Lytechinus pictus: one gene and its partner. The protein of the gene in region 1 purifies or fractionates together with the protein of each later gene. This does not show direct contact. Links are inferred from orthologs where the notes say so. Each region holds a gene or a part of one and is shown on either strand. Other genes may lie near its edges.

Evidence for each region.
Region 2: the proteins of partner of Y14 and mago-like (region 1) and protein mago nashi homolog purify together in Drosophila melanogaster (affinity purification with western blotting; 4 studies listed by BioGRID, with this or other methods). This does not show direct contact. The link is inferred for Lytechinus pictus from reciprocal best matches to the Drosophila melanogaster genes Pym and mago.

Annotation. Positions count from the first base shown.
Region 1 is NC_087257.1:24,606,509-24,619,670, forward strand, and holds the start of partner of Y14 and mago-like, read right to left. Parts: upstream 5,334-13,162; 5' UTR 5,296-5,333; coding exon 5,250-5,295; intron 4,428-5,249; coding exon 4,334-4,427; intron 2,660-4,333; coding exon 2,230-2,659; 3' UTR 1-2,229. UniProt on the Drosophila melanogaster protein: Regulator of the exon junction complex (EJC), a multiprotein complex that associates immediately upstream of the exon-exon junction on mRNAs and serves as a positional landmark for the intron exon structure of genes and directs post-transcriptional processes in the cytoplasm such as mRNA export, nonsense-mediated mRNA decay (NMD) or translation.
Region 2 is NC_087248.1:1,643,486-1,656,618, reverse strand, and holds protein mago nashi homolog, read right to left. Parts: upstream 6,225-13,133; 5' UTR 6,203-6,224; coding exon 6,122-6,202; intron 4,640-6,121; coding exon 4,446-4,639; intron 3,519-4,445; coding exon 3,419-3,518; 3' UTR 1,316-3,418; downstream 1-1,315. UniProt on the Drosophila melanogaster protein: Core component of the splicing-dependent multiprotein exon junction complex (EJC) deposited at splice junctions on mRNAs. Involved in exon definition of genes containing long introns, including the rolled/MAPK gene.

The DNA of each region.
Region 1 (13,162 bases):
CTTCACACTTCACCGTTAGGGTTACATCCCCTGGGTCCTGTAACACAAAGTTTATTGTTTGATAAAGTTGATCGTACGGCTGATTTTTACAATTGATTTCATTGATCGTTGTGTGCCATCAAGCAGAGAAATCAACTGCTCAGTCTATTGCTTTGTGTAAAGGGTCCCATGTAATGGGGGCATTCTGATGGATAGTGTCACCATGCATTGACATAAAGAGCATAGGATAATAATGCTTCTAGGAGACACCTCACTATAAAATTCATTTGCATATTTTATAATTGATTTGCGGAATCGCTTCAAACGGTCATTGGCACATATAAATTCATCACATGTCGGGGGAAAAAACACTGCACAAAAATATACAATAAATAGAATAACAGATATTTGCCAAACTACCACCCGGTCAAAGAGTTGATATCAATTTTTTTAATCCAATATAACTCTTAATGATAGGGTTCTGGACAATTAGTATGGTATACATGTACAGGTGTGTCTGACATTGGAAGTTGAGTCTCTTAGGATTTAGGACAACAGAAATTTATTTGATTTAGGCAAAATTTCACTCCAAAAAGGGAAACAATACAAGCTTTGCATAATCTGGACTGAAAACTTTCCTTGACTTTAAGATGAAGGCAATTATTCAACTTGCACGAGATCAACTTACACCGAGTTAAGTTGTATTACAATATATTGCTTTTGTTGCTACCTTTTTATAGTTCATGATAAAAGACAATTACAAATACCAGATGACACTAGTCATTAATTTCAAAAACACGTAACGGTAATGTATTATGTTCCAAGTCAAGTGATTTAGAAGATTTCTACTCCCTCCACAACACCACCACATTTTCTATGGTTAGACTCGACATACATAAGCTGCTACTTGACTTACAACTATGTCAAGAATACATAAATGCAGAATAGAAAATTGTTTCTTCAAAACTCAAAATTAAATTCTATCATTACTATGAATTATTACAGATTATTCTCTAAAAAATGGTAAGATTTGACAACAGAATAAGAAAAAAAGAGTTGATCCTCGACCTAGTGCACTCAAAACTTAAAGGATACAATGGGATGAAAATAATTATATCTACATAAATATAGTAAATTCACCCAGCAAAACGGGAGTATTCAATACATTTTTTCTTTCATTCTTGGAGGAAAAAAATTGAAAAATATAAATTCATATAATAATAAGATACAAAAATAATCGGAGATATGACATGAGCTTGCTCATTACATATTCATGAACACATGAATAGAACTTTTGATCACCGAAATAATGCAAAACTCTAAGTTTAAGAATATCATAACTTTATTATTCCTTGTTTAATTTTGATGACATTTTCAGTGTTTTGGTTGTCTTTATCTGTCTAAATCAACTTAACCTGTAGTGTTATACCTCTTAAAATCACCAGTTCATTGGAAACATTATATAGCGTAGAGATAATTAAATTTACATGCAGCAATTCCAGTGACCTTGAAATTTGATCTGTAGCCCCAAAAATGTTGAAAGGTCATAGATCAAATATTGAAGGAGATGGGAATTTCCATGGCTGGCTCTTCAGGACATTTCTGGGGTGAATTCGTCCTGGCGCCCCCTATAATTTACCATGCCGAGCAGAACCTGAATGATGTGGAGCACGTGTCATATGCCACCTTGTCTCCTTGATACACACAGTACTTTTATCATATCTAATATCATTTTACTTGAGCACTAAAAACCCACAACTGAAAGGAAAAGTTTCATTTAAAGCATGAGACGTTCATACTGTACAAAATCTGTTCTTTTGTCTAATTTTTGGATATAAATTTCATGGCTTTCGTGTTAAGTAGTTGAAGATTGCATTTTTAGATAAGCTAATAAATTTTCTAAATATTGTATAAAGCATACATGTACACAGGAAGTATATTTTGGCTTAATATAGACTGAGAACTATTCCTGTTGACTCATTGTGGATTTTGCAGCTGGCAGTTAAGATAAATATATCTTCTTACCATTTAAAAAGGGTTGTCCTTGGTGAAATTTTTTCATCATGTTTGATTGACCAACAAGATATTTTTTTTCAGCAACCGATGGCAAGGTTTTCTCTCAGTCTCTGCAATTTCATTTTTGTCCACAGCTAGGCTTTCTATCTTTAGGGTAGGTCAAGGAAGATAGAAGCTCCTTCCATTTCTTTATCTGCAAAATTTAATTTCACTCTCAGTCTAAGATTTTCATCATCATGACCCATCTTCCAGCAAGTCCAGTTCATCTTCAAGTTCTCCTTTTCTAGCAATCTTTTCGAGCTGCTCTTTGGAAGGTTGTGCTACTTCTCCGCTGGCAATTTTGGCTTCCAAATCCTCAATCTGCCTGATTTTCTTCTTAAGGTTCTTAATCCTCTTCTGAGGATCTTGCAGGACCGGCGCAGGATCCGCGCCTCCACCCACACTGACCTCCTGGACCCCCTTCCTTAGCTGTTCCACATCACCATTTTGGACTTCTCCCACCTCGTTCTGCTTCTCTTTCCGTTTCTGGCGACGTTTCTCGTTCTTCTTGGCAGCCTTGGTGAGTGCCTTAGATTCTTCTACCTTTGCAGGAACTGGGTCTTCGTAGACTCCTGGAGGAAGTCTTGGTTTGCTGTTAATCCATTGCTTGCCTTTACTCTCATACCTGGAAGAAACAAGTGGAATGCCTCTGGCCGTCTCACCTGCATCACGCGATTCAATATAGCAGCAGTGCTGATTTTGAAAACTACTATAACTCGCACAAGATGTTCAGTGATACTTGGTTACTCGTATTTCCACGTTTTATGAATTAGACCAATACACTTATAGAGATATGATGGCAATTCAACAAATACCCCCAACATGGCCAAAGTTCTTTGACCTTACATGACCTTTGACCTTGATCATGTGACCTGAAACTCGCACAGGATGTTCAGTGATACTTGATTACTCTTATGTCCAAGTTTTATGAACTAGACCAACACACTTTCAAATTTATGGCTGTAATTCAACAAATACCCCAATTTGGCCAAAGTTCATTGACCCTAAATGACCTTTGACCTTGATCATGTGACCTGAAACTTGCACAGGATGTTCAGTAATACTTGATTACTATTATGTCCAAGTTTCATGAATCAGATCCATAAACTTTCAAAGTTATGATGGTAATTCAACAGATACCCCCAATTCGGCCAAAGTTCATTGACCCTAAATGACCTTTGACCTTGGTCATGTGTCGTGAAACTCATGCAGGATGTTCAGTGATACTTGATTAACCTTATGTATAAGTTTCATGAACTAGGTCCATATATTTTCTAATTTATGATGACATTTCAAAAACTTAACCTTAGGTTAAGATTTTGATGTTGATTCCCCCAACATGGTCTAAGTTCATTGACCCTAAATGACCTTTGACCTTGGTCATGTGACATGAAACTCAGGCAGGATGTTCAGTAATACTTGATTAACCTTATGGCCAAGTTTCATGAACTAGGTCCATATACTTTCTAAGTTATGCTGTCATTTCAAAAACTTAACCTCAGGTTAAGATTTGGTGTTGACGCCGCCGCCGCCGTCGCCGCCGCCGTCGCCGTCGGAAAAGCGGCGCCTATAGTCTCACTCTGCTATGCAGGTGAGACAAAAAGCAAAGATTAGAAATCAAGGGAACATTACTTAAAGATAAACATGTAATCATAACTGACAAGCTGGCCTTCATAAACTTAATTAAAAGTCTTTATTTTAATTGACTGAGAAGCAATGTTCGGAAGCAAGACCCTCTCATTAATGATCTTTTACAAAAAACAAGGGTTTGGTAGTGAAAGCATGGGGAAAATATTATCAAGTGATGGACATTTTCTTTCTACCTTCTTCAGTTCATTCTATATTTCTTTTTTTTTTATTGAACTTTGAATAGTAATTCACTGGGCTTCCTGTAAATAACAGAAGCAGAGAAAAAGAGTATAAGGGATTTGGGGATGAAATAACTACCAAAATGCTCAAGATAGTTCAGTTGTATTTCTTACAGTAACAGGACCTGTAAATAAAATTACAAATGGTTTCAATACAGAAGCTGATTTGACGTAAAGAAGATTCACAATTTCCTCTTTATCAGGACAGGCAAAAAAATGTTTTGTTTCAAAACATGTTTCTAACCATGTTTTAATTGATTTGAAACAAAAAACAAAACCACACACACAAACACTCTTAAAAAAAATAAAATTATTATTTCCTATCACGACCCTGCCCTGTTTACGCATTCATTCCCGATTACATGGGCAAATTTCATTGGGGGTAGGGGGGGGTACCTGCCCTTTGCCTCTGAGCTGGAGAGTACACTTACAAAGGAACTTCTTCTTGGGGTATGTATCCAGGTTTTACTCTCCTTGGCTTTCTCCATGTTCCATCAGGCCTTTGGGTTGCTGGCAGGAATTGACCTGAAAGTAGGGAAGGGGAGGGACAGATTGTTACAAATTCTTTCAAGCAGGGTAGTAACTAGACAGGGATAACCGTCGTTTCTTGGGATTTATTTAACAATTTCTGACATTTTACTATCATTCCCATTCACCAACGGTAGTGTTAGTGCGAGCCTGCAAGTGTAATCAGGACCACCAATTCGGGCGACCGGGTTTTGTCTAGATTTTTAATTTTTTTAAATTCTAAATGACATTATTATCTTGAACGAAGTCGAAGGCCCACTATTTTCGTTAGACTCTAATCTTTCTTTTGATACTATACATATTACAAGAAAATATTAAAATTATATGTTACCGATGATTTATTCCTTATTTTTTTAATTTTTCTGCCGGAGAGGAAAAAATGGCAGTCGTGTGTTGCTGCCCTTAAGTTCAACGAGTTGTGCTTTTAATTTTTTATCATCAAGGCTTTCCAATTAGAATTTTTCGATATCCTGGCCAATCAATGCGACAAGTTCCGAACGCACGCACATCTACAGATCTTACAAATTTATTCAAAACAGCGTCAACGTTTAATACTGTCAACGCTCAGTGATATGAAATTTCGCTCTCACTCAACATTAAAAAAAACCTATCCACCGCCCACATAACACCAAATTGGGTATGTTGGACCACGTTTAAAAACATCCAATTCAATGATTGAAAATGTGATGATTTTCTTAATCTTACATCATAACGAATGGTTAAATAATGCTTGATGGAATACAAAACTACTACACCCGAAATTGCAATTTGATGGTCATCCTCACTTCCACTTAGACAGAAATAAGGGTCTATACTTGCCTGATTCATCCGTTTCAACGTTTTCTTTTGCAGCGGACGCCATCATCCCTCCACCATCATCAACACAAATGATAAGTCGGGCGCCATCTACGACCATAATTTATTTATCTGAAACAGAAAAAAAAGTTATTATCTTATCTAACATATGGAACAGAATAGGCCCTTGTGTATTTTGGTTTGATCGATCTCGTCGTCTCAAATATCCCTCCCGCCCTTTTGCCCCTTTTTCTATTATTGGTATATTACCTTAAAAAGGTCAGTATATAAAGTACAACATATTTGCATAGCAATCAAATTTGCAATGGTTGAATTACTAGTAAGATGTATTCGATGACAAGGAATTAAATTATGGTAATAAAAAGGAAACGGTTAAACACAGGGAGGAGAAGAGAATGGGAGTGAGAGAAGGGGAATGGAAATTAAACGTAGAATAATAAAAACAGAGGGAGAGAGAGGAAGAGAGAGAAAGAGCACACACAGAAAGGGTTAAATTAAAGAACAAGCCTTAGAATAAGAAAAGAGTGAAACCACGAGAAAAGGGAGAACTAAAAAGTAAGATAGATTAATAGATAGATATATAGAAAAATAAATAGATGTATGAATAAATGAATAAATAAATAGATAAAAAAATAAATGAATAAAGCATTATCAAAACTATATGCATAGGCACATGAATAGATACCCTATTATTTCATTTTATTTCATAAAGTTTTGTTTCCTTAAATTTTTTTTTTTTTTTTTTGGGGGGGGGGAGGCCCCATTTAGCCCTACATGACTTTTCTGTCATGGCTTCTGTACATATGCTTCATTCTTTCATCCCGTCTTTCTCTACCGATCTTCTGATCTGAGCATTATCTCTTAATTTTTTAGCATTCTTCTTATCTGCCCCCACTCTCTCTCTCTCTGTCTCTCTTTCTTTCCTTCTCCCCTTTCCCTCTCCCTCTTCCCCCTCTCAAGTGCTCTCTATTTTATTGTGTCATTACTGAGTAGGATAGATGATAACTATGACATAACACATTCATTACACATGGTTTTCTGTATGGGTCAATCATTCTATTCAGTGAAAGATTATAGATGCAAGATCAATGAGTTATCATACTTATGGCATGCATACTTACAAGTAAAAAAAGAAAAGAAAACACAAGTACAAACAAGTTTTTCCTTTCTTAACTATCAAGTGAGCAAATTTATTTGCATACGAGATGTCTAAAACGTGACAAACTCCATAAAAAATAAGATCCTAGTGAGAAAATGATATGGCATGATATCAAGTCATAATTTGAGGAGGGTATACTCATGGAGTAACAGTATCTCATTTGGATACACTTTTGTGTACCGTGTGAGTAAAAAAAACTTTGCACCTCACAAATTCCCATTTTAAGAAAAAATATGCCATGAACGCATAATCATTATATATGGCTGGAAAGAGTATCTTCTCCCAATTATTTTGATACCATATTTATGTGGTATGTGTTAACGCTTGGATGATCAGTAGATATTCTTTGCAGTGATGTAAATTTTGACTTGCACCAAAATAAGGCATGGCTGCATTGAAAGAATCCAGATGTCAATGATGTCATAATCCTACATGAGGTAGTTAACATATTTGCAAATTCCTTTTCAATGAAATAATTTTGAGAATTGACACTGAAAGTGTTTATTACACAATTATAATGTAAATTATTGAAAAGGCATTTTGAAATGGATTTTAATGCAACCGTTGTAGGATTACAATATCATTGACATCTGGATTCATTCATTGCAGTCATAACTTACTTTCGCACAAATCAATTTACATCACTGCAAAGAATACCTCCTGATAATCCAAGCATTAACACATCCCACATAAATATGGTATCAAATTATTCGGGAGGACATACTCTTCCAGGCCATATATAATAATGATGTCATCATGACACAATTTTCCTTAAATTTGGGATTTGTGAGGTGTCAAGTTTTTTTTTTTGACTCACAAGGTAGTATCTCTCAATCATGAAGGCTAGCAATTACAAATGAAATATGATTAGAAAAAGAAAAATGTAATGAAAAAGGTAAGATACCATATCCAGAACAGTATGTGCTGCCATTCCTTAATAAAATCTGATTATCTTAAGGTAATCGTTACACACTCCAAATTGGCAATGCCATGAAAACAACAAAATCACTGTTATAAAATACAGTTTATTCAAGCAAAAGGCATACAACAAAGAAGTGTAATTATCTATTTACTTTTGCCCTATGTTCAGTGAAAAATTGTGATATCCTTGCTAAATCGTTAACAAATATGCAGTTGTCAGTTTTACTTTGAGTCATGTTACTATGGCATCTAAATAAATTCTATATCACGCAATGCAACATTGCATAGACATTTAAATTAATGGAAAACAAACTCCCCTATGTCACAAAATGCTGTAGTTCACTCTAAATAAGATTTAAAACACATCAAGATCAGCTGTCAATAATGACTACTCGAAATTTGGATTGAAAATTAAATGTGAAAGATTTATTTTTCAATCTCAAAGAATTAGAATTCAAATCTTTTTAAAATCCTGAGCTTGACTGACTTCTCACAGCTGATCTAGATTGATTTTTATTAAGGATCCCTGTGATTTAGTGTGTAAACATGCAGTCCCAAAGAACAAGACAATATCAAGGTTATAAAGTGCCACAGTTCCGCATGGTCTATTTTGCACTAAGGATGTGCTGTTATTTAATGATACATGTATATCCTTTTTATAGTGTTTTGTGTGAAAGCAAAGAACTACTAATAATTAGAAATTAGTTTGAATATTTCAACAACATAGTTATATGCATTAAAAAAACATGCAAATAATCCAACCACACAAACTAATTACCTTCAGTAAGAGATACTATCCCCATGCTTTCAGAGTCAAATTACATCCTGTGGCATATACAAATATATAATCTTGTCTAAAGAGAATCACTGGATTAGGAGTCAGGAGATGAGATTATCTTATCCCCTTATAAATGCAAATATCCACAACATGACACCTCAAAAAATCTACATTAAAACAATTTATCAAATCAGTTAACAAACATTCACATAAATAAGATAGTACATATCTAATTACCAAGACAATAAATAGGATTTCAAAAATTTCTATCATAGTATTGATCTATATAGCATAAAACATTTTCATCTCTTATAAACCATTGGCTTTATGTACAAAAGAATCACATTATATCCATATCACGTGCATAAGAAAATTACCTGTATATCAAAACAAAATTTACATCTCTCAATGTGACAAAAATGATGTTCATAATAATATGCAGTCAACTTTGCATTATAAAACTGTTCATTTTATAGGTGAAATTCAAGTTGAAATAATTGCCAGTGTGTTTGTTCTTGGTTATTAATGTAAATATGGTTTTATTGCATTCAAAGAATTTTCTAAAGATTCAGAACAGATTTAATTTGGAAAATTGAATATATTTGATTAGAAAATCACATCTGTCATGTGATCCATATTAATAGCATCATCTATCAGCAGAATTATGTCTACAAGGTGCCATTGAATCTACAAACCAAGTACAACAATTTCTGGTACAAATCATATGCTTAAAATCACAAGTGATGATTTTCACAATATTTTTTTTTCTTAGCATTTAAGCATATTTCTACAGACATAGTTACAACATTCCACATACAGAAAGGTTGCGAAAGAACAAAAAAACCATTTCATGTCATACTTCTAAGGTTACACAGTACATGTATATACAAGCAGAGTCAACTTTGGCACCTTTTAATTAAATGAACTGGTAAGAAGACATGTGGCATTTAATACACTAAAAATGTGTTCGTACTACCTTATAAAAGGGGATCAAGCATTTTTGTAGTCCATAGGAGTGACAAGGTATTCACAACTCTAAGGATGCCTTTATACTACATTTTCAAATGCAGATCGAGCGTGTTGAAAGTTGAAAAATATAGTTCACAGGAGTACTGATAATGCTCAGCGTTCCCATGTTTTGGCTAAGCCAATCTGCAAGATATTAAGCAATAATCATAACATGCAATCTCTCTGTCAATTGAACCATCATGTTGCCTTTATATTTACCCAGAAAATATTTTTTTTAGACTGAGTGCACTTTAAACACACTATTTTGTACATTTTTAGAATGTTTAACATGGTGATTACAATCTTGGCAAGGACACAAATGTAATTGGATTTCATGCATTGACAAAAAAAGACTTTCTAGCCCAATCATATAAAAGATCTACCTGTTGTTCTTTTACAGAAAAAAATCCACTTTGATTACTTTCTTCTGCAACATGAGGCAAATTCCTACAGTATTTCTGATTTTAACGAGGAAAAGTATGCACATACTACTACTACAAATAATGATGTAAGCCAATTTAATCAGATATCGATTCAATGTAATAAATAAACATTGAGCACCAATCAGTATCTTCATCTACTACAGATACTAGAACAGTGTGAAGAGCTTATGTTTAAATAACTTTAGATTTTTGTTGTCCACACTTTGGATTATGTGTGTGTGGAATGCATGAAGGGGTGGGTGTGCATGGGTATGTGTGTGTGGGTAATGACACATATGTATCAATCGGATATGATTATTTACATCCAGGAACTGACCTTTTGTGTCAGCAACCAACCGATCTGACCTAATGCGTGGTTCCAACCACAGATTTCCAGTTTGAATCAGTTGGTTACTACCCCATGCAGCTGGTTCAGGCTCAAACCACAATACACAGTGAGCATTATCACAGAGCTGCAGTGGGTAGTAATGCCTTATGCCTCAGTCACATTTGCTCTATGGCGGCCGTACGGTGAGTCAAAAACAGCCGTTTTAACATTTTTTATACCAGCTACATATATGTGGTTTGAATAAAAAGTGAATAAAACGGCTGTTTTGGACTCGCCATATGGCCGCCGTAGAGCAAATGTGACTGAGGTATTACTGCGCCGTAGAGCAAATGTGACTGAGGTATTACTGCTATGTAAACTGAAATGCTATATTGACACACACTCACTTTTCGTAATACAAGGAGAAAGCCCCTTTTTGAAACTAGCCCAGGTAAGAGCATCAGAATGTACTTGCAGAAGGAATGATGCAGAGCAGATAAACACACTTAACAATAAACGAGTACCCATAAACATATATAAAAAAATCCAACAGTTACCAATTAATTATAACCATAACTTTGAAAGGGTAGTTTCAACTCACTTACCACTAAGTTTTATGCTATTTAGTTTTTATATTCAGACAGAGTGCAAAGAAACATATAATTGATGGGGTGGGCTCAAATCCCACTGCTGCCACAAAAATTAAAGTTTCTACAGATATACAATAGAAAACTGGTGATGAATTGATAGGCAGGGGTCACATCCCACCGCTGCCACAAAAAGTAAAGTTTCCGTAGTTATAGCATGGGGGAAGATGTTATGATCATGGGCTAGCCTTGCAACTCTGAAAATAAACTGGACAGTTTAGCAAGCTTATCTAATCACATCAGCAAATATTGCAAGAATGATATATTGTATAAACTTACAAACTAAAATTAAACTAGAAATTTAATTTGTCATGGGGACGAATTTGGTGATCTGTCTGTGATTCTCATGGTCCCAATCATCATCATGATCTAATTCTCGATCATAATCACCAAGTTTATGCAGACAAACATGATCATCATTATGAAAAGTGAACTTTTATTACTTCTGTGAAAAGGTACAAGGAATGCACATGATAAATGTGTTATGAGCAAAAGGATACAAATAAATAAATAGTAAAAACTTCAAGTGGGTTTTAAACCAGGGACCCTCGCTTTATAAGGCAGATGCACTATCCATTCGACCACAATATTTCTCTTACACCCATAAGGCAAAGAATGAAACATAATCTAAAATTGACTTTTGCAAGTGCATGACCTTAATGGCATGGATAGTTGACCCTTGACTTGAAGTTGATATGATGTACATATGTTTGATTTTTGAGAAATGATAATGGAGATATGATTGATAATCTGATTTTACAAAATGGCGCCTAGATGACGTCATGATAATTATTTGAGCTTGAACTTGTTTCATACACATCGCATGATAGGTCCGCATAAATGAAAAAATATTGATGAAAATTGATAAAGGAGTTTTGGAGATTTTGTGGGAAAAAGAAAAGGGTGGAATGAGGAAAATAAACAATAATAAAAATAAAGAAATAAAAAGAAAATTTGTAGAGACATAAAAGGTAATCTGTCAACAGAAAGATAACCTAATAAGTGCCATTAACATATTGTCCTCATTTGTAGTAAGGCACTGACAACCAGTGAAAAAATACCAGCATATATCAAATTACTTAAAAAGTCTTTGGTGCAGAATAAGTTTTATGTGTAAATTTGTACAATAATTTTCAACCCAGTACTATCCAGCTAAAAACCTTGTACTGACACCTTTTAGCAATTGCTAAATATTCGAAATTGGCATTTAAATGCAAACTCTCTATTCTAGCAGTCCATATTATAAATATCATAAATATTACAATATCAACTGCAGGGAAAGGTTCTAGTCGGCTACATTTCCTTAATATATGTCATGTATGGGAATGCAGACAAAGGCCTACATACAACATATGCACATATAATCAGGGGTGTTTCATAATGTTATTTGTAATTTACGCACAACTTCAAGCATGACTAGTAACCCGAGTTTAAATACTTCTGGTTTTAACATAACAGACATTAATTTCCTATAACCCTTGAAAATGTTTACAAAGAATAAATTTTGCATTCTGATGCTTATTCATGACAAAAGATCTGCAAAGATCAGATTTCTGTTCTCTTAATGATCTGTTTAGTTTGATTGTTTTTTATTGAATGAAGCACGCAATTTAGAAAAATCAAATAGCTGATGAGAAACAAAATTTGAGACTCTGAAAAGTTCAAGTAACTAGTCATGCATAAAGTGTACATAAATTATCAACAAGTTTATGAAATACCACAAATAATGATGAAATATTAATATATATCTCAACTATCAAAACTGGAAATGATTGCATAAAATGTTTCAAGTGTTCTCTATATCTATCAATTATCTAAGTCTTTTAATGGAACTTGGAAGAGTTCTTTGCTGGTTCAATGATTAGATGACAATTTCTTTTCCCTTCAATCAAGTAATTATATTATCGTTCAAATTAAGGCACGTTTACATGAATCTCATTCATTTTCTCCACCGCAAGTACGGTACCACAGGAAGCTTTCCAAATCCCTCGTCATTGCTTATGGACAACTTGAGGGGTTATAAAGGAAAAAAAACTGGTTGGGATTCCGGCTGAAAAGTGATCTTAAAAATACCATGGACCTTTGCACATCACAACATCGTTCTTTCTAAATCCCTTGTTGTTTTGGCTAAACACAACTTGGAAGTCTACATAAGAGGCTGGGTGTGATTCCAGCCGAAAGCTGCGGCTAAACATAGCATAGAACTTTGCACATCACAACAGCTTTCTTAATCCCTTGTTGTTTTGCCTATACACACAACTTGGACGACTACAAAAGAAAAGATGCTGGGTGGGATTCTGGCTGATAGCTGCTACCAAACGTGGCACAGAATTCGTTCAGGTACCAAAAAGAGGTGCTTTTAAACAACCAGTACCAGCAGACAAATTACTACACAGGGGATCTTTCAGTACACAGAAAAGAGCTAGCATCCATGGGAAAGTCTCTCTTATATTGCAAGTTTTGGAAGATCCTGAAGATTGGAATAGGGATGTTACTCTTTTGCTGCCAGTCCTTTCATCATTGGTAAATCAGAGCCGTCTAGTTCGCCGGTAGGGTCTACTGGAGGTTTAATGGGCATTGGGGCAGCACCATCTGCTTCTTCTTCCCAGTCCTTGCGAGTCTTTCTCTTGAAGAAGCCACACTGAATGGTTGG
Region 2 (13,133 bases), on another chromosome or scaffold:
AAATACCTAAAATGTGAAGATCTAAGAATAATCAATTAGCAATTACTTGTGGTTTGCAATCCACTACAGATCTATTTATAGATATTTTCCAAATTTTTAAAGTTTATTTTCCTTTCACTGCACTTTCATTTGAATGTGCCTGTATGTTGAAAAGAAGTTTCTAATATTTTGTCCTTGGAACCCTTGAACAAAAGGTCTAGGAGGCCACTGGCAGGCTTTCTGAAGAGCGTTTTATCAACAGGTTTTTTTTTTCATCTTAAATTAATGGATACAAAATGGATCCAAGCTTATTAATTACGGGTGAATGGATATCTCATAAAAAGGATCTCTCGGGGGGGGGGGGGGGGGGGAGAAATGCCCATAAAATTTAATCACTCGAGATGCTTTCACACGTAAGGGCAATGATCAAGTGTCGGTCATAATGGTCAAGTGCAGTTACGTGAGCATGTTGACCATTCCATGGTAGACCGACCAAGATCAGTATTTTCATCTAGATTGGTCAACATGGGCACTCAACCATCATTTGTGACTCTAACCACTTCTGCCCTGTAATGCCAAAAGGAAGCAAGTGACCGACTCCTCAAAAAAAGATAAAGATTGTCATTAACACTGCTGATAAAATGATACTTATCTCTCGATCTCATGGTCAGTAAATCACTTGCTTCCTTTTCGTTAGAGAATAGCAACCTGGGCAGTATTGCATAAAGGATCTTATTAATCATTTTCAGTAGGTCTGTCTGATTTCTTTCTGCTTTGGGGGTATTTAACTGTAATTCACACACCTAAAGGTCATTTGACCATATATGATCTTGTGGAAAGTGATTCACATGAGGTCTGAGGATCAAAACTCTACTTGTCTCCAACATTTTAATTTTTCTGGGCAGGGGAGGGGGGAGGGGGGGGGGTGAGAGACTTGGGGAGAGCATTGGAGGGAGATTTTTCCTTCATTTAATCTTCTTAATAAAAAGAGCCTTCAGGATATAACAATATATTTATAAGTAATGATTTGCACAGCAAGATCCAAACCTGGAATATTGCTAAAAAATTAAATGTTCAGTTGGGTTAATCAGAGCTGCTAAGTAGTACAGATTTTCAGTGTTAAGCACTGAAAAATGAGTAAAATGGTTTCACGCAAATGCTGATTTCTGAAGTATGTGTTGCTCTACAAAATACAGATTTTCAGCTTATATTAAAAATATTGATATATTCTTGTTCAGCTCTGGTTAATTGCATTATCTAAAAAAAAAAACCTATTTCCATTAGGGAAAGGGTGCATTTAAACTTGCACAGACATACTATTCATTTCACGGCACTCTTTCCTTTTGTATCATTTTATTCATCTATCATCTGAAGATATCATACATGTACATCAATTTTTGATCCACTATGATGATGCAGTCAAGACACTCTTATAAGACATGGGAGCAAAGCTTCAGACCATTTTCATATACAAACAGTATGTGTTATAAGCGAAAACATGATAAGAAGTTTCAAATGCAGGAGACATTTTCTATCTCACATGCCTTGTAAAACAAAGCTTGGCACACGATCAGAGCCAATTTTATGCACAATAACATTAATTATTGGGTGCAATCAAGAGAAAAGGACAAGGTGTTTTCTATGCTGAAAATATGTTGAAAAATTCTTCATTCAGACTTCAGTCTGATAAATTGCATCGCTGATAGATTTTACATGTCAACCTTGACCATCATTTCAGTACTTTCTGATGAAAAATGTAATTGTATAATTTTCCAACAATTCTGCAACAAACCTATCTTGTGAACTATCTAAAACCAATGATAATGACAGTAGATTGTCCCCATTTCACTACATACAAACGTTTATGAGCTAAAAACTATGTACAGAAGAAGAATATTAAACCAACGTTGGCAAAATTATCATTTAATGGCTTTAACAGAGACCATTCATATCCTTGGAAAATGACATAAGTACAGTTAGACTGAAAAATCTGCTGTTTCAGAGGATTAAAAAATATATTTTCTGATTTTTCGAAGTCAGGATACCGCAAGGCCAGACGAAGTCTCAGCGGAGCATATCCTGACCGAAATAGGCTGATTTTTTCAGTCTAAGTACAGTCTATTAATGTACAAATTGTCTACTACTTTCCCTCAACATATCAAGATAATTACTAGGTTTTTAGAAATAACTCGTGATATACAAGGTAGAATAAAAAAATGGTTTGATGATTTCCGAACGTACATGCTATATAATAAGCAAATTGTGTATGACAGAAGCCCTGCCAAATTGATATCTTTAGTAACATCATGTGCTTCAAAAGATGTAAAATTGTGGTGACTGGATTTGACAGGTGATGATTCTTTCATATCATCCAGTGTTTATCTAATATTAAAAGTTAAAACCATAATTCATGAATAACGCTCTTCAATGATAGATATCCTAAAAGTAAATATTCATTTGAATACCTTCATATTGCGGGTCCTTTATCTGTTTTCAATTTAAAAGCAATTGTGTGCCACAAACTAAGGATTAGACTGCTTATTCAAGATTTTATTTACAACTTGTCCTTAAAGACCATATTAAGTCTCTCTATCATGCATGCACATGCCCTCCTTTTATCAAGATGGACAACAAATATTTCTAATGTGTAACTTACAAGTACAGAATAAACCAAAATGGACAATGGGGACAGCAGCACAAGTTTTTGTTTGATGCAAAAACAATGAATCAAACATGGCATCCATAATGTAGTCTAATGATAAGTGTGTGTATAAGGCTAACAATTTCTATAATAATCACTTTGTTTAAAAGGGTTTGGAGACATGATGACAACACCATGTGTCCCATGCAATAGGTGGATCTAGCCAGATTAGAAACAATACATTGGACAGACCCACCATTTTGTTCACAAACAATTGCATGGCCTGTGAAATAGTATTGTATCTAACCCAGCTTGATCGGCCACCGTTTCCACAGATACTTTGCTTCAAACTTAGTCTAAGTTCTTGATCTCTGTGTTTCATGAAAATGGTACCCTGGTAATGAGATTGATGTGATCTGTAGCACCTCACAGTTTCTTCTGAAGCATTTAAACAACAAATACTGTTCTCTTGAAGTGGATGATCTGTATACTTCAGTCTGGTCAGTTCTGGAGGGGACTCTTTCCATCAGTGACCATTGTCAGAACACTGTTCCAAATATCATTATCCATCAAACGACCAAAGCTATTCACGATATGTTGATGCAGTTCACACTTTTCATGGATCATTCCTTCAGACAGATGGGCTTACTGGTCAATTTGGTGTTGGGCTTGGATACAAACTCCCTTTAATAACAATTCAACTTACACTAACAAACCAATTCTAGTTGAAACTTATTATACAAGATACAAAAAAGTGTCCTTTCCAAATTTGGAATGAGCAATTCCTGGAATGTCCTCTTAGATTGGCTTGATCTTGAAGTGTAAGCCAATGAGTGAAAAGACCAGGCACTTGAGATCTTGTACTAGGTAGTAGAATGTGCGCAGACCTTCAGCATCTCTGCATCAGAAAGAAAAGAACATAGGATTCTCCTGTGACTTCCTGTTCATGAAACAGTATTACTATCTTTTTTAAACCCCAACCCCAACAGCATCACTTCACAAAAAGGATGGATCAAGTTAGATACAAAGATTGGATGAGAAGAATTGACTTGCGATTTAGAGAGAAAAAAAAATTATATACATACATGTAGAGGGAGAAGAAACATGTGAAGTAGTTTTAAGTACCTTCAAGATTCAAAATATTTATTGTCTGTAAAAACACAGAAATTTGGCCTACGCTGGCAATCAATTTAATGATGAAAAACAAATATTCAACATATCAGACACAAATACAAAATTAATGTACGCATCTTTTACTTATGTTTGTGTGGGGTTTTTTTTTTGGGGGGGGGAGAGAAGGGAGGATAGGGGCAGTGAGTGGCCTCAAGTATCCTATCAGTAAATAAGAACACAGGAATTTACTTTAATGAAATTGGCTTGATTGTCAGATTCAAAACAGGATATCAGTTCAAATCAAATAAGTACGTGGTCAAGACTACAGGGAAATTCCCTCCCCTAAAAGAAAAGTTACATGTGTATCAGGAGTGATGAGTCACTTCAGACTGACATTACACGATTTCCTTTTCTAGTAATAGACATGACGCTTGTTTGGTAGAACTTCTTCTAACTGCATGCAGTTGCTTGACTTCAAGTGAAAAGTATTAAAAGTATTGGTAATTTGGTGCTTAAGGAAAATGCTCAGCACCCTCTTGCCAAAAAAAGAAAAGAAAAATCAATAATTTTACCTAGAACAAGGTGTAAGTACCTATTTTTTCAACTAAGTGGATTTATTGAATAAGAATCATATCATGTCTGAATGATGATGATGATCATCATCATCTTTTCACTATTTTCATCAGTCAGTCATGACATATGCTTTCATTACCTGCTGTTGTTAACATCAATCAAGGAACCAAACTTGGTGGTAGCAAATGAGATGTGCTCATCGCCCATCACAATTTCTAGCTCCTGTCGACCTACTCTGTCTGGAGGCGGCCATAGAGCATCGTCTTCCTGCATCACTTCGGAATCATCAACGACGCGTTTCAACTCCTCAATCACAGCCTTGTGTACATAGGCCTGTAACAAAGCAAGATTACACATCAGAATTTATGAACAGATATTTCTTTCTCATAAGCCCCTACTTATCTCTCAGAATTGCTTTTCTTTAAAATTCAGCCAACCTCACATAACTTGAAGTTCAAATCATGATAGATTCCTTCTGAAACAGGCTACTCTTTAATGATTGCGCATTCAGCTATGCAGCTCATAAGCTGTGGAACCAGATTTAACCCTGTACTATACACAGGCAAAATTTTCTACCTAGCCCCGGCTAAAGAAATTCTTGGTTTTCACAAAAATTCAATAATCCCCAACTAAATCAGATAGCCATTCATCATTGCTTATCTTTGATTGGACAACCTAGAGTATGGGGTTAAGGAAAATTTTGGCAGTGAGAAAAGGGTATTTGTAGTATAATCAAAAGGAGTTTCTACCAAAGCACAAGAGAGCATATTTACATAGTGGCTGCACTAGACAATTCTAAAGCATTATTCAAACCATGAAACAAACATTTATAATTTAACAAGAAGATTCTTGCAGCTTCATACAAGCACCATCATAATCTACATTTCTTGATTATCATTATCACCAGCCATCATTTTCTTCATCCTCAAGAAAATTAACTCTATTCCATCGTCATCATCATCACCAACTCATCCTCATCATCATCCTCCTCATCATCATCATCATCATCATCATCATCATCATCATCATCATCATCATCATCTTTTCAGCAGGAATCCCACAAGGCTCTTTCCATTGCTTATCATTACAATAATAATAAAAACAAAAACAATGGGAAATGCAAGAGCTGCAATGAAAAACACTTAGCTCAATTCCTGCTAAAACATGCAGCAAAGACTCTCATCTCTCAGCTACAAAGAATACAGAACACTGCTGCTAGAATTGTCAATAAAGTCCCTTGAAAACAGGATATATCCAAACCACTCAAGCAACTGCACTAGCAACCAGTAGAGAAGCGTATCTTCTTCAAAATCCTCGTCATAACATTCAAGAGCATCCAAGGAAAGCCCCCCTCATACATCGCGAGCATGATCAACACCTACCAACCCTCCCAATCACTTCGGTCATCCAACAAGAACCTTTTAGTTGTTCCCAAGGCAACCTCCCACACCCATGGCGACAGAGCCTTTTCAGTTGTGGCTCTTACACTCTTGAACTCACTTCCTCTTAGCTTAAGATCCCATTCTTCTCTAAGTTCCTTTAAAGTAACACTTAAGACATATTTCTTCCGTAAATAGTATGATTTTTTACAGTTAATATGTCCATATTTAAGTTGGTATTTTAGATATATGTAAGGTTATTACGTTGGATGTTTAGTTATGTAAGGTAGTTAAGTTGATAAGTGAGTTTAGTTTATTACGTTAAGTAGTTAGGTTTTGTGATGTAAAGCGCTTAGAGAAATTTTGATAGGCGCTATATAAATATTGAATTATTATTATTAAGGTGCCTCCCTGTAAATACCCATAACTGTCATACCTCTTTCCTGATCATGACATCATTCTTGTAGTTTGAATTGTTGGCATAACGAAGCTTTCCTGTAGAAATAAAAATATACATGTGGTCATCATAGAATTACAACAAAAATTATGTGCATTATTAGCATTTATTTTCTACATAGAGAGTATACAAACACGCCTACTTGGAGTTGGTTTAAATGCTAAGTCTCTGTGATTAAATCACTTATCACATGTGGAAGCGCCATGGTGTAGCGGTTCTGACTCTCGTCTTGTAATCAGAGGGTCATGTGTTCAAATCCCACCATGGCCTAGTGTCCTTTGGCAAGGCGTCAATTCACAATTTGCCACTCTCCACCCAGGTGTTAAATAGGTACCCGGTAGGATGCGAAAGCCTATGTAGTATGCCTAGCAATTGAGTCTTGGAACTCTTGTTTGAATGCTCCCCAGGGAGTGGAAGAGGTGCATACATTGTATGCGGGCATGTAAGGATCCGATGACCAGGGTAATAATATATCTGTAAAGCGCTTAGCGACATTGTTCCGATGTGTTAAGCGCTATATAAATGCAGAATATTATTACTATTATTTAAATACTCACATAAAATACACTAAACAATCTCTTGAGAGTTAAGTTGAAATATACTTCCTATCACAAACCTTACAATTTACCTCTTGATTCACTCACGAAAAAAAACAGAAAAATATTTTTTCAAGAATTATCAAACTCATTTATTCTGAACAGTATACCTTTCTGTTCAAACAGATTTGGCAGTCTCATCATTTGTTGGCCTACTGTATGAAAGTTTAGGCACAGTGATATTGTCTTAAATTTAAAATTTCCTTTTCTCTTTCCTGTCTTTCTCTCGTCCAGCTATGCATACACATACATGCCGACGACTTGATTTCTGCGAAAGTTCAATGCTGTAGAGTTTTTCCTTGCGTACGAGAGCCGTTAAATTGAGCCTCACCACATGTGATAAGAAACCAAAAGTTGCAGCTGCTACTGCATTTCACTCGGACCCCATGTCGAATGGAATGACCAATTGAGAAAGAAAAAACAGAAAAACTACCGCATTGAATTTGCAAAGAAATCAATATGACGGCATGCTAGCGGCAGGCCTCTATTCAACATGGGGTCCAAGTGTATTGCAGCAGTGAATGGCTGCTTCAACTTCCCGGTTGCATATTGCATGCAGTGCAGCACAATTTAGCAGCTCTCGTACGCATTGACTTTTGAACGAGCAATATATGTTGAACGGAGGGCAGGAGCTGTCAAATAGCTGGCACAAAAGATGACAATACATACATTTCAAAATTTTTGAAATATTGAGATGTACGAGAAAATAAACATTGCAATTATAGAATAATTGATGTAAATTTTTTTTTGTGAAAAGACATTTTAGAACAAAAAATATTGCAAAAAATGCTTAACATGTCGAATTCTGGGCAGCTTACTCTAATCTTGACAGCTGGCAGCCGTCTGTTTCGAGGAGTTTTTAAACCTTGTTTTTTCTCCACGTACATACATGTAAATGGCTATACATGCTTTTTGGACCTTTTTTTCTTTGAATTTGAAAGGATGAAAAGCTTTCATAATTTGAGTTTTCTTTTCTTTAAAACTTTCTCCACCTTTTTCTGCTCTATTTCATTCTCTTTTTTCTTTTCCTCTTTTCTTATTTTTTTTACTTTCAACTTTTTTTCCTTTTCCCTTTTTTGTTTTGTTTCTTTGCTGTTAATTCTTTTCATTTTTGTTCTTTTAAGTTTTAAATTTTCTTTTTTTTCCTTTTATTGATTCTTTTCCGTTTTTTCTTTTTATTCTTATTTTTTCTCCACTAACTTGTAGTTTGGATAGACTGCCTAAATTTATGGTTATGGGGTCAACTAAAGCTTGTTTTCTTTTTTTTAAACCTTTTTCATTCTCATCGATTTCTATTTTTTTTCTCTCTCTCTTTATCTTTTCCCTTTTTTCTTTTGTTTCTTTAAGTTACTGTTCTTTTCATTTTTTCTTTTAACTTTAACTAGATCTAGGCATATTTTGTTTTAGGGCCCATTCTATTATTGGCCTATTCTGTAATACCTTACTTTTTATTTTGTGTTTTATTTTTCTTTTCTTTTCAATTTTTTCACATTTTTCCCCCCTAATTGCCTAAATTTATGGTTAAGGGGTCAACTAATAAAGCTACGCTTCACTCACAATCATGAAGATCACTCGCCCTGGCTGGGGCCGATTGCACGAAAGGGTCTTTGCAAGAACCGTCTTTCGTGTCGCCCATTTATTATGATGCGCCATGTGAAACGCATTTTAAATAAATTACCTGCAAACATATTTTATTCATCCGTTAAAGTAAACAAAATCTTTGTTTATAAAATGATGTGATATAGGGCCTAGGCCTATCATGAAATTGTATACAAAACTCAAAAGTCAAAATGATTTAAATAAATGCTAGCTAACAAATTTTAAATGTTTATCATACATTTCAGAAAAATCCCACATACAGCGCATCATAAAACTGATGGGCGACACGAAAGACGGTCCTTGGAAAGACCCTTTCGCGCAATTGGCCCATGTAAAAAATGTAAGCCATGCATAAGCCGGGCGGCGCGTTTCCGTTTTACACCCTGGCGAAGGCATTTTCCGGAAAAATAGCCACAAAGCGACTAGTGAAGAGTCTACGTCTACGTTTGTTTACATAATCAGCTGGGCGCTCGATCCAAAAGTCCGCACCGAAGATATCCGCAGAAACATACGTGCAAATGCAGCTGAGCTTATAGACCAAACGCTTTGCAGTCTCTGTATTTTGGTTGTTCCGCTGAACTACGTTGGCTCCATTATTATTATTTTTTTTACTTTATCGCACATGATCGTTTATATGAATGAAAACGAATAATAGCTAAAATATTGAAAAATAAAACACATAATTACCTCTTTTTCTTCATATTATATCTATCCTTATATCTATCATATCTCCACTATCTATGTTATAAATCAATCTATGGAACTACATGATATATCTATCTGTCAATTTGTCTATCTACTCTGTCTCTCTCATTCTCTATCTACCTATCTATCTATCTATCTATCCATCTAACATCTATCTCTCAAATTCTCTATCTATCCATCTGTCTCTCTTTTATTTCTCTCTATCCATCTATTAATCTATTCATGTGCAATAACAACACTGCTTCGACTTCCTTCGGGAGTCTATTTCCTCAGCTCTACTTTTCCCTTTTTTGTGCTCGATTCGATTCAATTACTACTTTATTTACTTGTTACCATTGTTAAATGTCTTGTATTGCATAATGAGTTTTTTTTTCTGAAGGTTGCCTCCTCGGTGCATCCTATTCTCTTTCAAAGTCCACCTCTTGCTTTCCCTTCTCTTTGTCTTATCCCAATTTCTTTCCCTTCTCTCACCTCTTTCCTCTTCTCTCTCCTCTTTCTTCTTAATCTTTCATTCCGCATTTTTCTTCTTAGGTGACACTCTGTTGTACTTTTGGCCTTTTGTATTTATTTATGATACATTTCTTTTGTATTGTATTTGATATTTATTTATAATGTTTACTTTATATTTTGTTATGATTTTATTTGTATGTAAACATAATGTTGTAACCTGCAAGTGAAAACCCAAACCGTACCGTCCCGTATAATCCAATAATTTGCAAGCGGGACCCGCTGACCCGTCGGGTTTTAACCCGCAAGTAAATTTATCTTTGAAAAATGAAAATTATTTCTGCAATCCCCACACTATACAGGCTCAAATCACGAAAATATATGCCAACTACTAACCTAGCCTAGAGTGAATTTACTTTACAATTTGCAAATTCGCCTCTTATTCCGGAGAGAAAATGTTTTTTTGGGTTACTTTGTACCCGAAATGGGTCGGCTCTGATCTCGAAGTCAAGCATTGCGCAATTAACTCCTCGGATCGGAGCCGCAGCTCAGCGCGCGCTAGCTACATGTAGCCCAGGCTGCCCAGCAAATTCGATGTTCAGTTTCCCGTCGCCCGCCCGCGTTATGAAATTTGGACCGCGTTTAAAAATCAAATTCTGAAAATAATTCATTATTTTACTATTTTGACATAGATCTCGATTCAGAACTGATATAAAACATTAATATAAGCTTTTCAGTCACAATTACTTGATCATGTAAATACCTGTAATTCTTTTCTTGTTTTTTTCTTGTGAATGGAATGACACTGCATGCTCAACCACACCTCGAGCGATGTTCGTGCAGGCTCCACTCAACTTCACTTCTGCTACACTACGCTCTACCTACCCGATGTAGCGGTAGTGAAGTGGAGTGGAGCCTGCACGAACATCGCTCGAGGAGTTTGGTCGAGCTACCTCAATAAATCCCATAGTCTAGTAACCTCGCATTGGTGAGTTGTCATACGGCATATCAGACAAAAAAATCATCAAACAAAACTCAATCTGTTTTACAAGGCCGACGGGAGGCTCACGCACGTACGCATTGGCGCTTGTACTAGCTAGCCAGTCTGAGCTCTGTCTCTCTGCCAGAGCTCTGGGGGACAATCGCTCTGTAAAGGCCTCAATGATGGTGATTTTATGTTTCAGACAGAGTTTATATTTCGGGAATATTATTCAAAACTGCCAATAAAGTTAGATGATTTCTTCATTGTCATGTATATTTAAGTTATTAATGAGTTCATTCTCACCAAATTTAGACTCCCCCATAGAGAAATGCAATTTTCGTGGAGATCTGCGTTTTCAAAGAACATCAGGAAAAGTTAGGGTATGTGGGCCTTTATTACAATCATGGCCAAGAACTGGAATTAGATGGAGTAGAAATTAGACATTGAATTCATTTATATCCAAGTTCAACTCATAGTCACACCCACACAAACACACCCACATCCAAGATTCTAAGCATGAAAAAAATAACTTTAAAATCATGCAATATTAAACAATAAGTAATAATTAATTTAATAAGTGAACAGGGATTCCTCAAAATACAAAAACGTAGCATTTGAAAAGAGCCCCCGAAATGAAAAAAGTAGCCTCCAAAACGGTAGAAATGGAGACCCTGAAATATTACAAAAAAATGAAAATGGAACCCCCGAAAAAAAATGATTGATTTGCTCCCTGGCTTCAAGACAGTTCCACAGAATAAAAGTGCGTTCAAAGGTTACAAAAGGTCAAACTTTCATCTTCTGGAAAATAATGAATAATGAAATCCTCATTATGAGCTGGAAAAAATGGGACGGGAAACTCGACATCGAGTTTCATTGGCCTATGCGATTGCTTTTGACTAGACTCGACTGTGCTGCGCTGCACTGGCGCGCGCTCCTTCTTCGAAAGAGCAACTCGATGTATTTATGTCGAACTGTCTCAGTCCAGTTCACTGTTCACAAGACAAAAATACGCCAGCATTTTTTTAAAAGGAAATATCTACGTCTCTAAAAGAATCCGCCACGTAAGAAGCACATGATCCTAACTCCATTTTCATTGTTAATGTTTTTATTATGCGTCGTTACTTCTCCCTTTTTTTTCGCATAACGGTCTGCGGGTTTGAGAATGAACTCGGCCCGGCCCGCAACCCGCGATCGGGGGCATACCGGCAGGTTAACCCGTACCGCAACGGGTGCGGGTTACAACATTATGTAAACATTCACTTATTTCAGTCTTTGACTGCTTGTGATTGTATTTTGATAGTTTTTATTGCAATAAATCCAATATATATATATATGTCTTAAATTCTCTCTATCCATCTGTCTGTCTTTTTCTCTCTCCCTATTTCTCTCTATCCGTCTATCTATCTCTCGAATTCTCTCTATCCATCTGTCTGTCTGTCTCTCAAATTCTCTCTCTCTCTCTCTCTATCTATCCATCTGTCTGTCTTTTTCTGTCTATCCGTCTATATATCTATCTCTCAAATTCTATCTCTCTCTATCTAACTATATATCTATCTATCTATCTATGTAACTACAGTATCTATCTATCTGTTAATCTTCTCTGTCTCATTCTTTATCTATATCTAACATCTATCTATCTCTCAAATTATCTATCTCTCTATCTATCTACCCATCTGTCTTTCTCTAGTTCTCTCTCTCTCTCTATGAATCTATCTATCTATCTTCTATATATCTATCTATCTATATATCTATCTATATATCTATCTATCTATCTATCTATCTATCTATCTATCTATTTATCTATCTATGTAACTACAGTATCTATCTATCTGTTAATTTGTCGCTCTTCTCTGTCTCTCTCATTCTTTGTCTATCTATCTACACAGCAAAAACTGTGGTGTTAACCGGTGTACATAGAGGACCACACAAGTTATTTTACACCGGTGTTAAATTGGTGGTGTTAGTTTTACACCTATAGGTGTTATTACAACCATCTTTGGTGTAATGTTCAATCTCTAGGGTGTGATTTTAACACCTCAGGGTGTGGTCCTCTATTAACACCAATTGGTGTCAGTTTTAACACCACAGTTTTTACAGTGTATCTATATATCTATCTAACATCTATCTATCTTTCAAATTCTCTATCTCTCTTTCCCTCTATCTATCTATCCTTTTGTCTGTCTGTTTTTCTCTCTTTCTCTCTTTCTCTTTTTCTGTCCATATATATATATCTATCTATCTATAACATCTCTCCATCTCTCAAGTTCTCTCCCCTATCTATCTATCTATCTATCTATCTATCTATCTATCTATCTATCTATCTATCTATCTATCTATCTATCTATCTATCTATCTATCTATCTATCTATCTATCTATCTTTTATCTATTTATCTATCTATATGTAACTACAGTATCTATCTATCTGTTAATTTGTCAATCTTCTCTGTCTCTATAATTCTTTATCTATCTATCTAACATCTATCTATCTCTCAGATTCTCTCTCTCTCTCTCTCTCTATCTATCCATCTGTCTGTCTTTTTTCTCTCTTTCTCTCTCTATCTTTATCCGTCCATATATCTATCTATTTATCTATCTATAACATCTCTCTATCTCTCATGTTCTCTCCCCCCATATATCTATATATCCATCTCTCTGTCTTTC